Cricetulus griseus: one gene and its partners. The protein of the gene in region 2 interacts with the protein of the main gene of each other region in a biochemical or structural test. Links are inferred from orthologs where the notes say so. Each region holds a gene or a part of one and is shown on either strand. Other genes may lie near its edges.

Evidence for each region. The genes of interacting proteins can lie anywhere in the genome.
Region 1: the proteins of Npr2 (region 2) and Nppb form a complex in vitro, tested with the Homo sapiens proteins (3 studies listed by BioGRID). The link is inferred for Cricetulus griseus from reciprocal best matches to the Homo sapiens genes NPR2 and NPPB.
Region 3: the proteins of Npr2 (region 2) and Nppa form a complex in vitro, tested with the Homo sapiens proteins (3 studies listed by BioGRID). The link is inferred for Cricetulus griseus from reciprocal best matches to the Homo sapiens genes NPR2 and NPPA.

What each region holds. Positions count from the first base shown.
Region 1 is NC_048595.1:8,480,019-8,483,240, forward strand, and holds Nppb (natriuretic peptides B), read right to left. Parts: upstream 1,883-3,222; 5' UTR 1,788-1,882; coding exon 1,662-1,787; intron 1,450-1,661; coding exon 1,227-1,449; intron 738-1,226; coding exon 721-737; 3' UTR 512-720; downstream 1-511.
Region 2 is NC_048595.1:99,878,265-99,881,543, reverse strand, and holds the end of Npr2 (atrial natriuretic peptide receptor 2), read left to right. Parts: intron 1-1,589; coding exon 1,590-1,764; intron 1,765-1,834; coding exon 1,835-1,933; intron 1,934-2,205; coding exon 2,206-2,297; intron 2,298-2,410; coding exon 2,411-2,476; 3' UTR 2,477-2,755; downstream 2,756-3,279. Other genes in the region: Spag8 (sperm-associated antigen 8), read right to left, coding at 2,968-3,156, 3,247-3,279. UniProt on the Homo sapiens protein: Receptor for the C-type natriuretic peptide NPPC/CNP hormone. Has guanylate cyclase activity upon binding of its ligand. May play a role in the regulation of skeletal growth.
Region 3 is NC_048595.1:8,467,298-8,471,256, forward strand, and holds Nppa (natriuretic peptides A), read right to left. Parts: upstream 2,386-3,959; 5' UTR 1,817-2,385; coding exon 1,697-1,816; intron 1,598-1,696; coding exon 1,268-1,597; intron 810-1,267; coding exon 798-809; 3' UTR 512-797; downstream 1-511.

The DNA of each region.
Region 1 (3,222 bases), about 91 Mb from region 2:
GTGTTTGATGATGGAGTTCCAGGCGGGGGGGGGGGGGGCGCGAATGCTATGATCCCCTCCTCTTATTGCTCTGCACCCCGGAATCAAACACACACTTTGAAGAACAGATTCTGTGAGGAGTCTCAGGTGTTTCTGGTGTGGATTGGCACCTCACAATGTTAAAAACTGGGAGGGAAAGGAAAGCTCAGACACCTCACTGGCCCAGCCCTTGGGCTGTCTTTCTTCCACCATTAAGATGCCCTGGGACCTTGCGGGAAACATATTTTGTGGGGCTTGCTTCTTTCCTTGTTAAGATGAGTGACTAGAGTCAGGCATAGTGGCATGCCTTTAAGGAGACAGGCAGATTTCTATGAGTTCAAGGCCAGCCTGGTCTACAGAGTGAATTCCAGGACAGCAGAGTCTATGAAGAGAGACCCCATATCAAAAAATAAACAAACAAACAAAACAACAACAACAAAAAACCCCACAAACTGAAAAAGACAAGAGACTGATTGAAACACAGAGAGACAAATCATTTTCAAAAGCAAGAAATAATGCCGTGTTTATTACATTGTGAAAAGTTTGTGCTCAAAGGTAAGAAACAGTCTTGTAGAAAACAACCAAATAAATAAAAATAAATAAATAAATAAATAGGATCACTTCAAAAGGGGGTCCCAGGGTTGGGGAAGGAGCCCTTGGTGGAGTCAGGAGCCGGGCGGTGTCTGCAACTGGGAGCTCATCCTAATACCGCTTCAGCACTATGGGGAAAAGAGACAGGGAGATGTCAGACTTGGGGGTGAAACTGAGGCAAGGGCTGAGCTGCCCTCCACCTGCAGTCCCCAAAGGATGTTGAAGTTTACGGCTTTGGAAAAAGCAATCTCACTGGGCCTCAGTTTCTACTGTAAAGTGGGTCCGTTGTGCCCTTTGCCTTTGACAATTCAGTGTGGAGAAAACAGAGAGGAAATGCTCTTTCCTCTATGAAGGGGTGGTCAAACAACAGGCAGTCTGCACCCCGAGGTGCATTTGACCCCTCTGATGGAAGGTAGGAGGTGGTGACTTGTGAGGATGTAACGAAGCACCCATGTGACATTTCCTGACAGGTTGCCTGGTCCTGAAGACCGTCAGCAAGGTGGAGAGCTATGCAAGTATGCCGGATAGCAGACCTAGGGACTTCTGCTGGTGGCATGCCATGTGTGGGGATGGGGTGGGGGCACAGCTTGCAGGGAAGTGGCAAGGCAGAAGCTCACCGTTGCAGCCCAGACGACTGACTGAGCCGATCCGGTCTATCCTCTGCCCAAAGCAGCCCGAATTATGCATCTTCTTGGAGTTTTGAAGTTTCTGTAGGACCTGGAGGGTGCTGTCTTGAGACCCAAGGGTGCTTTGGGGAGGTGCTTTTGTGACGCCTTGGTCCTTCAGGAGCTGCCCCCGAGCCACCGCCTCTGCCTTTTCCCTCAGCAGGTTCAGCAGTGTCTGTGATGAGAGTGGGGAACCCAGGCCTCAGAAACACACTCCTGGCTCTCCCTTTCCTCCATGGTGCCCATTGGTTAAGAGTCCTGGTACTCAATCTTGCTGCTTCCCGAGTCTCACAAGGCTAATTCCCAAAGGACATGAGGTCTTTTCTTTGCCGCTGCCCAAACCCTTCAGGCAGACCCCATCCGTCTATGCAGCCCCTCAGCGCTCACCTGCATCTTGGATTGCTCCGGAGACTGGCTGGGACTGCCCAGGGGGTGGGAGTGACTTCCCAGCGGTGACAGATAAAGAAAAAGCAGGAACAGAACCATCCGGGACAGCACCTTCTGGAGATCCATGTCGTAGAAGTGATGGACCAGGCTGCTGTGGCGGTGCCTTGTTCCACCTCCTCAAGCAGCTTGTGTTCTGGCGTCTTCAGCCACGGTGCTTCTGCCTTTTATCCTGGAGCTGGGTGTCCGGCCAGCCCTCTCATGGAGTAGGGGGTGGGGTTATCTCTAATTTATCAGCCACATTCCTGCCTGCTGAGCTCAGGGCCTGAGAATTCCCCCCTCTGTGCCTGTGTGGGGTATTCGTTGTGGGTGGAGGCTGTGGAGAGCGGGCCTTGTATAGAAATGGGCTGGGCTAGGGTAGGAGTGTGCGGGGGACACTAACATGCTCCCTCCTTTCATGTAATCGTCTGAGTGTCTTTAACATCCTGCCCCACCCCTACTGGAGATGGCATGGAGAAGAACCCCAGCTTCCCTCGCCTGCAGCCGAGTGTGGGGCTTATGGGGTGACTCATTGAAAACACTCCCTGGCAACACCCACCATCACCAGCTTCCCCGAGAGAGTGTCCTCAGAACCTGTAATCTAGGCCCTGCCCGGCTTCCGAGCACCTGGCTGGACCGCTGGGCTGGACCGCTGGACTGCACCGCTTCCCGGCACCCTAGTAGCTGTCCGTGGTTCTGATCTCCACAAGTGAACGTCACACAAACTCTGCCACTCTCTCCTCAACCCATTTCCAGGCCAGAAGGGTCTCTCACACCCCCCAAAACCTTGTGAAACTTTTTGCCCAAGGATGCTCACTCTCTAGTGTCAACTGATTAAAAACTGGGATATGACAAAGAACTTCTGGAATTCCGACCCTCTCTCTGTCCCTTAATGAGGAGAACTGATTAGGATAGAATTTTGAGAGCCTGGCCCAGAGATGAGGTCATGTAGGAATGCCTTCTGGGGGCATCTCCAGGTGCCAGAGTCTCCTCCCCCACCATGAGTGGAAGAGAAAGGGTGCTTAGACACTAGAGGTGTGGGAAGGGCCTCTCCCCAGTGTTCTTATCAGATCACCCATGAGTGACTTCTCCCTAACACACCAGCCTCCCATCTCAGATGAGAGATGAGATTCTGAGGGGAAAAGGCCCTGGGATACATACCTCCCAAACATGTGTGACCAATGTCACCACCCCATCCGCAGAATCTGTGTTAACAAGTGTCAGCGTGGTGAAGGACAGTGACCAGGAGTAGCAGTGGGTTATGGCACAGATGGGAAAAAGGGATAGTTAGAAGCTCATGACTTGCCAGGAGGTGGTGGTGCACACCTTTAATCCCAGCACTCAGGAGGCAAAGGCAGGCAGATCTCTGTGAGTTTGAGGCCAGTCTGGTCTACAGAGTGAGTTCCAGGACAGCCTGGAGAAGGAGGAGGAAGAGGAGGAGGAGAAGGAGGAGGAGGAGGAGGAGGAGAGGAGGAGGAGGAGGAGGAGGAGGAAAGAAAGAAAGAGAGGAAGGAAGGAAGGAAGG
Region 2 (3,279 bases):
ATGCCATATCCACTCCACAGTCAGTGCTTCCCAAGTTTCTCCACCATCCAAGTGTTCTTTAGTGGATGTGACTCTAGCAAACATGGACAGTCTTGTCTGACACCTGTGATTCTCAGGGTTCCCTAGTCACAGCCATTGCACGCTTCAGTTCCCCTCTCTCTGTGTGTTATTAATACAGACACCTTCCATAAGAAGCACAGAGGATGTGGGGTGAAGAGCAAGACACAAATACATGTTATACAGCTATTTGTTAAAGTCATTGAGTTGGCTTAATTGTCCTTGGAAGCAAAAATGTGCTAGATTTGAATACTGATAATTTTATAGATAATTATGCGGCCTTAGACAAGTAACAGGGTTTATCTGAGCCTCAGTTGTTGCAGTAATAGATTAGGTATATGAAAACTGATGGGCTGGTGAGATGGCTCAGTGAGTAAAGGCACCAAGCCTGTGGACTTAGGTTCAATCCCTGCTATGTATATGATGGAAGGAGAAAACTGACTCTTCTGACTGTGTGTGTGTGTGTGTGTGTGTGTGTGTGTGTGTATAAATAAATGTGAGAAATATTTCTTAAAAGTGTCTAACATTGAGTGTGGCATATGGAAAATAATACTGCTGGGCATGGTGACACCTGTCTATCATCCCAGTATTTAGGAGGTTGGGACAGATGGATCAGGAGTTTAAGGTCAGCTTTGGCTACACAGTGAGACGATATCTAAACACAAATAAGGATATTTTAAAGATTACCAAACCCTCTCTGATGTTTCCCTAACAAAACGACAATAAACCCTTTACCCAATTATTTCTTTACACCGATTATTTATATTTCCTCCTTTTATTTTAGATGTCTTCCCGTCCCTGGAGTCTTTGTGAATCAAACCCATAGCTCTTTCCCCATGCTAAACTATTCTGCTCGTTGGCAAAATTCCAGGTCCTATATTATTATTTTTTTAAACTCATATACTTATTATGTGGACCATTTGAGAGGAAGTCTTAGTATCCCTAATACTTAGTATGGGCTCCCTACACATTTCTCTGTGTGCCATAGTTTTGGTACAGTTACCAAAGTCAATTGGCTGCATCTTCTCCCTCTGACAGTCAGGCTGCCTGGTCCACGTTACTGAACCTACTTTACCTTCTTTGGATCAGGATCCCGCTCCTGTCCACTTGTTCAACACAAGCCACTGAATATTCACCAGGTGCGGGGTTACTGAGGAGGAGTTAAGTATTCCCTGTCTGCCCTGCTCTTATCTGCAGATCCTCAGGACCATGGCATATAGTTCCTAGTCCATCTGGCCAGTCATGGCCTCCCAGGCTGTTAGGATGACTCCTGGCAGTTCATCTTATCTCTTTCTCATTCCCACCGATATAGCTAGAGATGACCTCTTAAAAATAGTTTTATCATTTTATTTATGTTTATTATCTATGTGAATATATGCCACATGTGTGCAGTTGTCCATGGAGGCCGGAAGGTGTCATTTCCCCTGGAACTGGAGTTACAGGGGGTAACTGAATTCAGGTTCTCTGGAAGAGCAGCCAGTGTTCTAACTAGTAAACCTACAGATGACCTTTTAATCCTCCCTTTAAATCAGGTGGAAACCATTGGGGATGCCTATATGGTGGTATCTGGCCTTCCAGGCCGAAATGGTCAACGCCATGCACCAGAAATTGCTCGCATGGCCCTAGCATTACTAGATGCTGTTTCTTCCTTTCGCATCCGACATCGACCCCATGACCAGCTGAGGTTACGGATAGGCGTCCACACTGGTAAGGTGAATTCTCACCCAGCCCTAGGGTCTACTTGTCTGGGTCTCTCCCAACCAGCTTGTATTTGTAGGGCCAGTCTGTGCTGGGGTTGTTGGTCTGAAGATGCCCCGGTACTGTCTTTTTGGAGACACAGTGAACACTGCTTCTAGAATGGAGTCTAATGGTCAAGGTGAGGACAGCAGCCTTTAACTCCAGCCTTGACCTGGGTCTGTCTTGCTCTTTTCTCTTTGCAGAGTTCCTCCATATCTCTCAGTTGGATAGTTAGTTCTTAAGTGCCCTGTCCTTGGGCATATATTGATTCCCATAAATGTGTACTGGGAGGATTGGAGGCTTTCTTGAGGGGTGGATGACTGGGTAAAGTACTCTCCAGCATGTCAATTTTTCTCTTGCCTTTTCTTTGATTCGTCTTTCTCCCTCTGTTCCTGGCCTGCACTACCCCAGCTCTAAAGATCCATGTCTCCTCGACCACCAAGGATGCCCTGGATGAGTTAGGATGCTTCCAGCTAGAGCTCCGTGGGGACGTGGAGATGAAGGTGACAGCGGGACATGGGGTAGTGGATCATGGGAGGATGAAAGTTGGGGGAGAGAGGGAGATAAAGGCACTAACACAGGAGAATCTCAACTATGCCCACTCCCCTGCCTCCAGGGAAAAGGAAAAATGCGAACTTATTGGCTCTTAGGAGAGCGAAAAGGACCTCCCGGACTCCTGTAAACCCCAAGCCAGACAATCTCCTGCTGCTGGTACTAGGATGGGCAATGACCACACAACAAAAACAGACATTGTCATTTGAGATGGAACACACACACACACACACACACACACACACACACACACACACACACACCCCAAACCAAAACCCTGCCTTATATGGAAGTCACAGCCTTCTGCAGCTCAGCCTTGTACATATACCTGCCCCTTCCTGCCTTCTTGTAAATATCTGTATCTAGACCAGAATATTTTGTCCAAGTATAAAACAACAACAACAAATCATGGTGTTCTTGTCTGGGGTCTAGGTCTTTGCAAGGGAAGAATATTGGGTATGGACACAGCTACTCATGGACTCAATGAATCAGCAGCTTCAGCAGGAGAGTGCTTTATGTAACCCCCTCATCAAGCACAGAGAATTAGCTCAACCCACACCTGCCTCTGCAGTATGAACACAAATAGACTCCAAATTCCATGTCTACTTCTCTCCTCAACCCTTAGGCTGGAGTTGTCCTTGTCTTTCCACACCCCTGCCCTCCTTCCTGACAGGCAATCGAAGACATTGACTCCACTTGGTTGGGGGAATTCTCAAAATCATAAGGCAAAGGCTGCCCCAGAGACAAGGGCACTGGTGTTGAGAAGCTGCACTTCTTCCGGAACGGTGTGTCCAGTGTCCTGATGTTACCCTGGAGGGAGTGTCAGGATAAGGACAGATGCCACCCTTCCCCAAGCCAGAACAGAAAAGCTCCCCCCAATACCTAGTCACCCCCACACACCTGTAGCGGTGGTGCTCTCTGTAGCCAGAACGT
Region 3 (3,959 bases), about 91 Mb from region 2:
TAAATAGGAAGAGATGCACCAGTCGGTGTGGTCATTCACAAAGCATTTGAACTTGCCACTCAGCCTGGAAACCGTCCTTCACTGCTCCCCACTATGTAACCCACCCTCCACTCTTATCCAAACTGAAAGTGTAATTCACATGGCTGCAGCAGCTGGTGCTCAGGTAACAGAAGATCTGGACAGTCCCTGGTTCTCTAAATGCTCCTTAAAATCACCCAAGCTGTAATCAAAAAGTGAGAGGGGTGCAAGGAATTGTCAGCTGAGCACAAGCGTCAGTACCTGCCGCCAGGAAAAGATGAGTTGGAAATAAATGACCTTTCAGTCTGGGTGGACTTTTCCGCCATCTGTGACTGGGGCTGGAGTGAGTGGCAGAGCACTGTGTCTTGAGCCCCCCCCCACACACACACACACTCACCAAGAAGAGTCAGGAAGGGGGAAATGACAGCAAAGGGTAAGGTGGGGGACACCGGGGAATGAGGGCCAAAAGTGAAAGAAGCACCCAGACCTCGGCTTCTGTCCTTGGTGCTGAAGTTTATTCAAAAAAAATTATTTCCAACTGCTTTCCGAAAGGGGTGAGGATCTACCTTAATATGCAGGGTGGGAGAGGGAGAGCCCCATTGAAACCACCCATCTACATTTAGCATCAGTCGTGATAGATGAAGACAGGAAGCAGCAGCTCCAGCAGGGTGTTCGCCACACCTCAGTGACGATGAGACCAAGCTGCATGACACACCATAGGGGCTTAGGGTCTTCTGCAATCTGCCCCAGCAAATCTGGCTGCTTTTCCTCCCTGGCTGTTATCTTCGGTACTACAAAGAGAAAAATATATTGGTTTGATGATCTGGCTTTACTGTACTAAAACATTCAACTTGGCCAGTGATCCCCTATTTCCCACCAGCCACAGTCCAGCCCAATGGTCCCCTGTCATAAACTGGCAAACAAGTAACCCATAAACGTTAAGGCAGGCAGATTTAGTCCATTTCATTGAAATATGCCAGGCTCTTACAATTGTGGGAAGAACACTAACTGCCCATCAGCAGCGCAAAGGTGACTTTGCCTTTATTCTAACTTCCCAGCTGGTGCTCAGAGGCTGTAGCAGCTGTTGGCATGGTCTTGAGACTTCTGGAACATCCACATAGTGGGGCAGAACTCTCAGAAGGAATAAACACTTGCACTGGTCTCTCTGCTGCCAAAGATACTCCCTCGAAGTATTGAGTTTGCTCTCCCACCCAACCTCCATGCCATTTCCATCCACAGTTCCTCTTACCCGGAAGCTGTTGCACCCTAGTCCGCTCTGGGCCCCAATCCTGTCGATCCTACCCCCGAAGCAGCTGGACCTCCGTAGGCTCCGAGGGGCAGCCAGCAGAGCCCTCAGTTTGCTTTTCAAGAGAGCAGATCTATCGGAGGGCTCCCAGGAGCTGCGCCCAAGGGTACTGCCTTCTCTCTGCGGTGGGTTGACCTCCCCAGTCCAGGGAGGCACCTCAGGGAGGGAGTTGAGCACTGCCCCCGGTGCCTCATCGTTCTGCTCACTCAGGGCCTGAGGGGGCACGACCTCATCTTCTAATGGCATCTTCTCCTCCAGATGGTCTAGCAGGTTCTTTACAAAGGAAAAATAAGTGCCGGGGAAGGGGGATGTCTTAGAGGAATGCACTCAGCACCAAAGAGACCCAGTCTGTGCCCCACTTCCTGGCCCTACCTTGAAATCCATCAGATCTGTGTTGGACACTGCACTGTACACAGGGTTCGCTCCAATATGGCCTGGAAGCCAAAAGGCCAGGAGCAGGAAGAAGCCCATGGCGATGGAGAAGGAGCCCATGCTGGCGAGGGTTGGGGCACGATCTGAAGCTTGCTGTCTCTGCTCACTCCTCTCCGGCTTCTCTCTCTCAGCCTTTGCCCGTCACTGTCTCCCAGCTGCCCAGTGCCTCCCGTTTTTATAGCCCCCCAGCTCTCTGAGAACGCAGGAGGGCTGGAACCCTCCCCATTCTGTCACTTGCAGCGATAAAGCGATGGAGTGAGGAGCCAGCAGAAGATGTCCTTTTAAAGTTATCAGCCCAGCAGAGCTTGTCACGGCCCCTTCTCCTTGAGCAGCTCCAGTAGCCCCCCTCCCCGAGACCCTCGTCTGCAAGAGTCACATTCTTGCTGATTTGCCTCAAGAGGCCCCCACTTCAAAGGTGTGAGAAGAGCAGAAGAGTCCTTGGTTATCTCCCCGGGCGCGCGCCTCAGGATTCTTTCTCCCTGGCAACGGGACCCATGCAGGGAAGCAGAGGGTGACGGCTGGCCTGCACCCAGCTCCCCCTGCTTGCAGCTCAGCTGTCAGGGGCTCCAAATAAGGGTGGGAGGGGAGGAAATGACAGGCAGCTGGGAGGCCAGCTAGACCAGCTAGGGAGTGCACATGCTGGAGCTGGCTTCACACCTGATTCATCAGCCTCGTGGGTGGACCTCTGGCCCCCGACAGCCCACCCCCACCCTAGATATGCGTGTTAGCAGTCAGGTGAAAGAGTTATTTTATTTTAGAGTGTGAAGTCAGCCAGGAAGCCAGCATGATACAGGCCCTAAGAATTCAGCTACAAGTATAAACACCAAGGGACGATAGAGCGTATTTCCTCTGAAGCCCATTGTTCTTGTCTCCCAAGACTTGGTCCAAGGTGCAAGGGGACAGACAGGCTTGAAGAATGCCTCCGCTTCTCTTTCTTGGCCTTGCTGTTTTCAAAAGCTCTGAGTCTGAGTACAAAGTGTAAAATGGTCCCAGCTTCCCAGGGAATTAGAGGGAAGAAGGGAGGTGATGGAAGGGAGGGCACACAGTTCTCCATAACATTCTTCGCGACCTCCAAGGCCAAGGAAGTGAGCCATCAAAGTCTTGACTCCTCTGGCATCTGCAGGAGCATGGCAGTCACTGAATGCTCTCGAGACTTCAGTGTCACCACACTCAACACTGCGCAAGCTTTGCTGTCTGACAAGCGTGTGTTTTCTCCTTTCTGTTCACTTACGGGCTGCAGCAGACCCGAATTCCATTCCCACACATTCTAATCCACTCCCGCCATTCAGGGCCCAGATAGCTGTTTTCAGGATGGCTAGTTCCGTCCTCAGGCTGTGGCTGCCTGCTGAAGTTGTCATGTGACCACAATGGCTGGAGGTCACAAGAGGTGTCTGTGGTGATGTTCTCTAAAACAGGAGAAAGAGAGAGAGAGAGAGAGAGCCCTTTGAGAAAGCTGGGGGCTGCAGGCAACCAATTTGGGCTAGCCGATCTCTACTTGAAATATGAAATCAGTGCAAGTCTTTGTGGGAACTCTGGGTCCAAACTCTGTCGCCTCCGGATGAGTCCCTGGGATGCCCTCAATGCTTAAGTGTGTGGCTGTGAATTATGAGCAAAGAGGACTCAGCAAAGCATCCCTACTGGGGGACTCAGGTCCCCTGCGGTGTGTGCCACATGGCCTGTCTCCTGGAGATTGATGGCCTTTGAATCAGGCACAGACTTGAGAAATGGCTCTGAGGCCTTCTGCCACTTTTCTGTCCTGTGCCATATCTGAAGCGCAGAGGTGGCCCTAGGAGAGGTGACGTTCTGAGCAGTCATGCTCCAGGAGGGCAATCTCAAGGCCCGCCCATCTCCTTTGGTCAAAGTCAATTTTCAAGAGTGGAACTGGAGAGGACATAAGTGCCATCCACTGAGTTTCTGTGTTCTCAGGGTTCCATTAAGGGGCAGGGATGGAGGACGCTCCGAGTGCTCTCCACGTCTCTGTGTCACCATGTTCCACAGTGTGTGCTCTGTGTCTGACAAGTGGAGGAGCCCATCACCCTCTCAGTCCAGTCCTTAAGAAGCCTTTCAGCTGAGTCCCAAATGGAAGGCAACTCAAGGTGACGTTTCTTTCCATGTCTTTGGCCCTGCTCCACTTTGGGGTGCCCAGAAGCCAGTCAGCCTTAGCTCTAGGAATGATAAAAAGAAAAGAAATGCACGGGGGGGG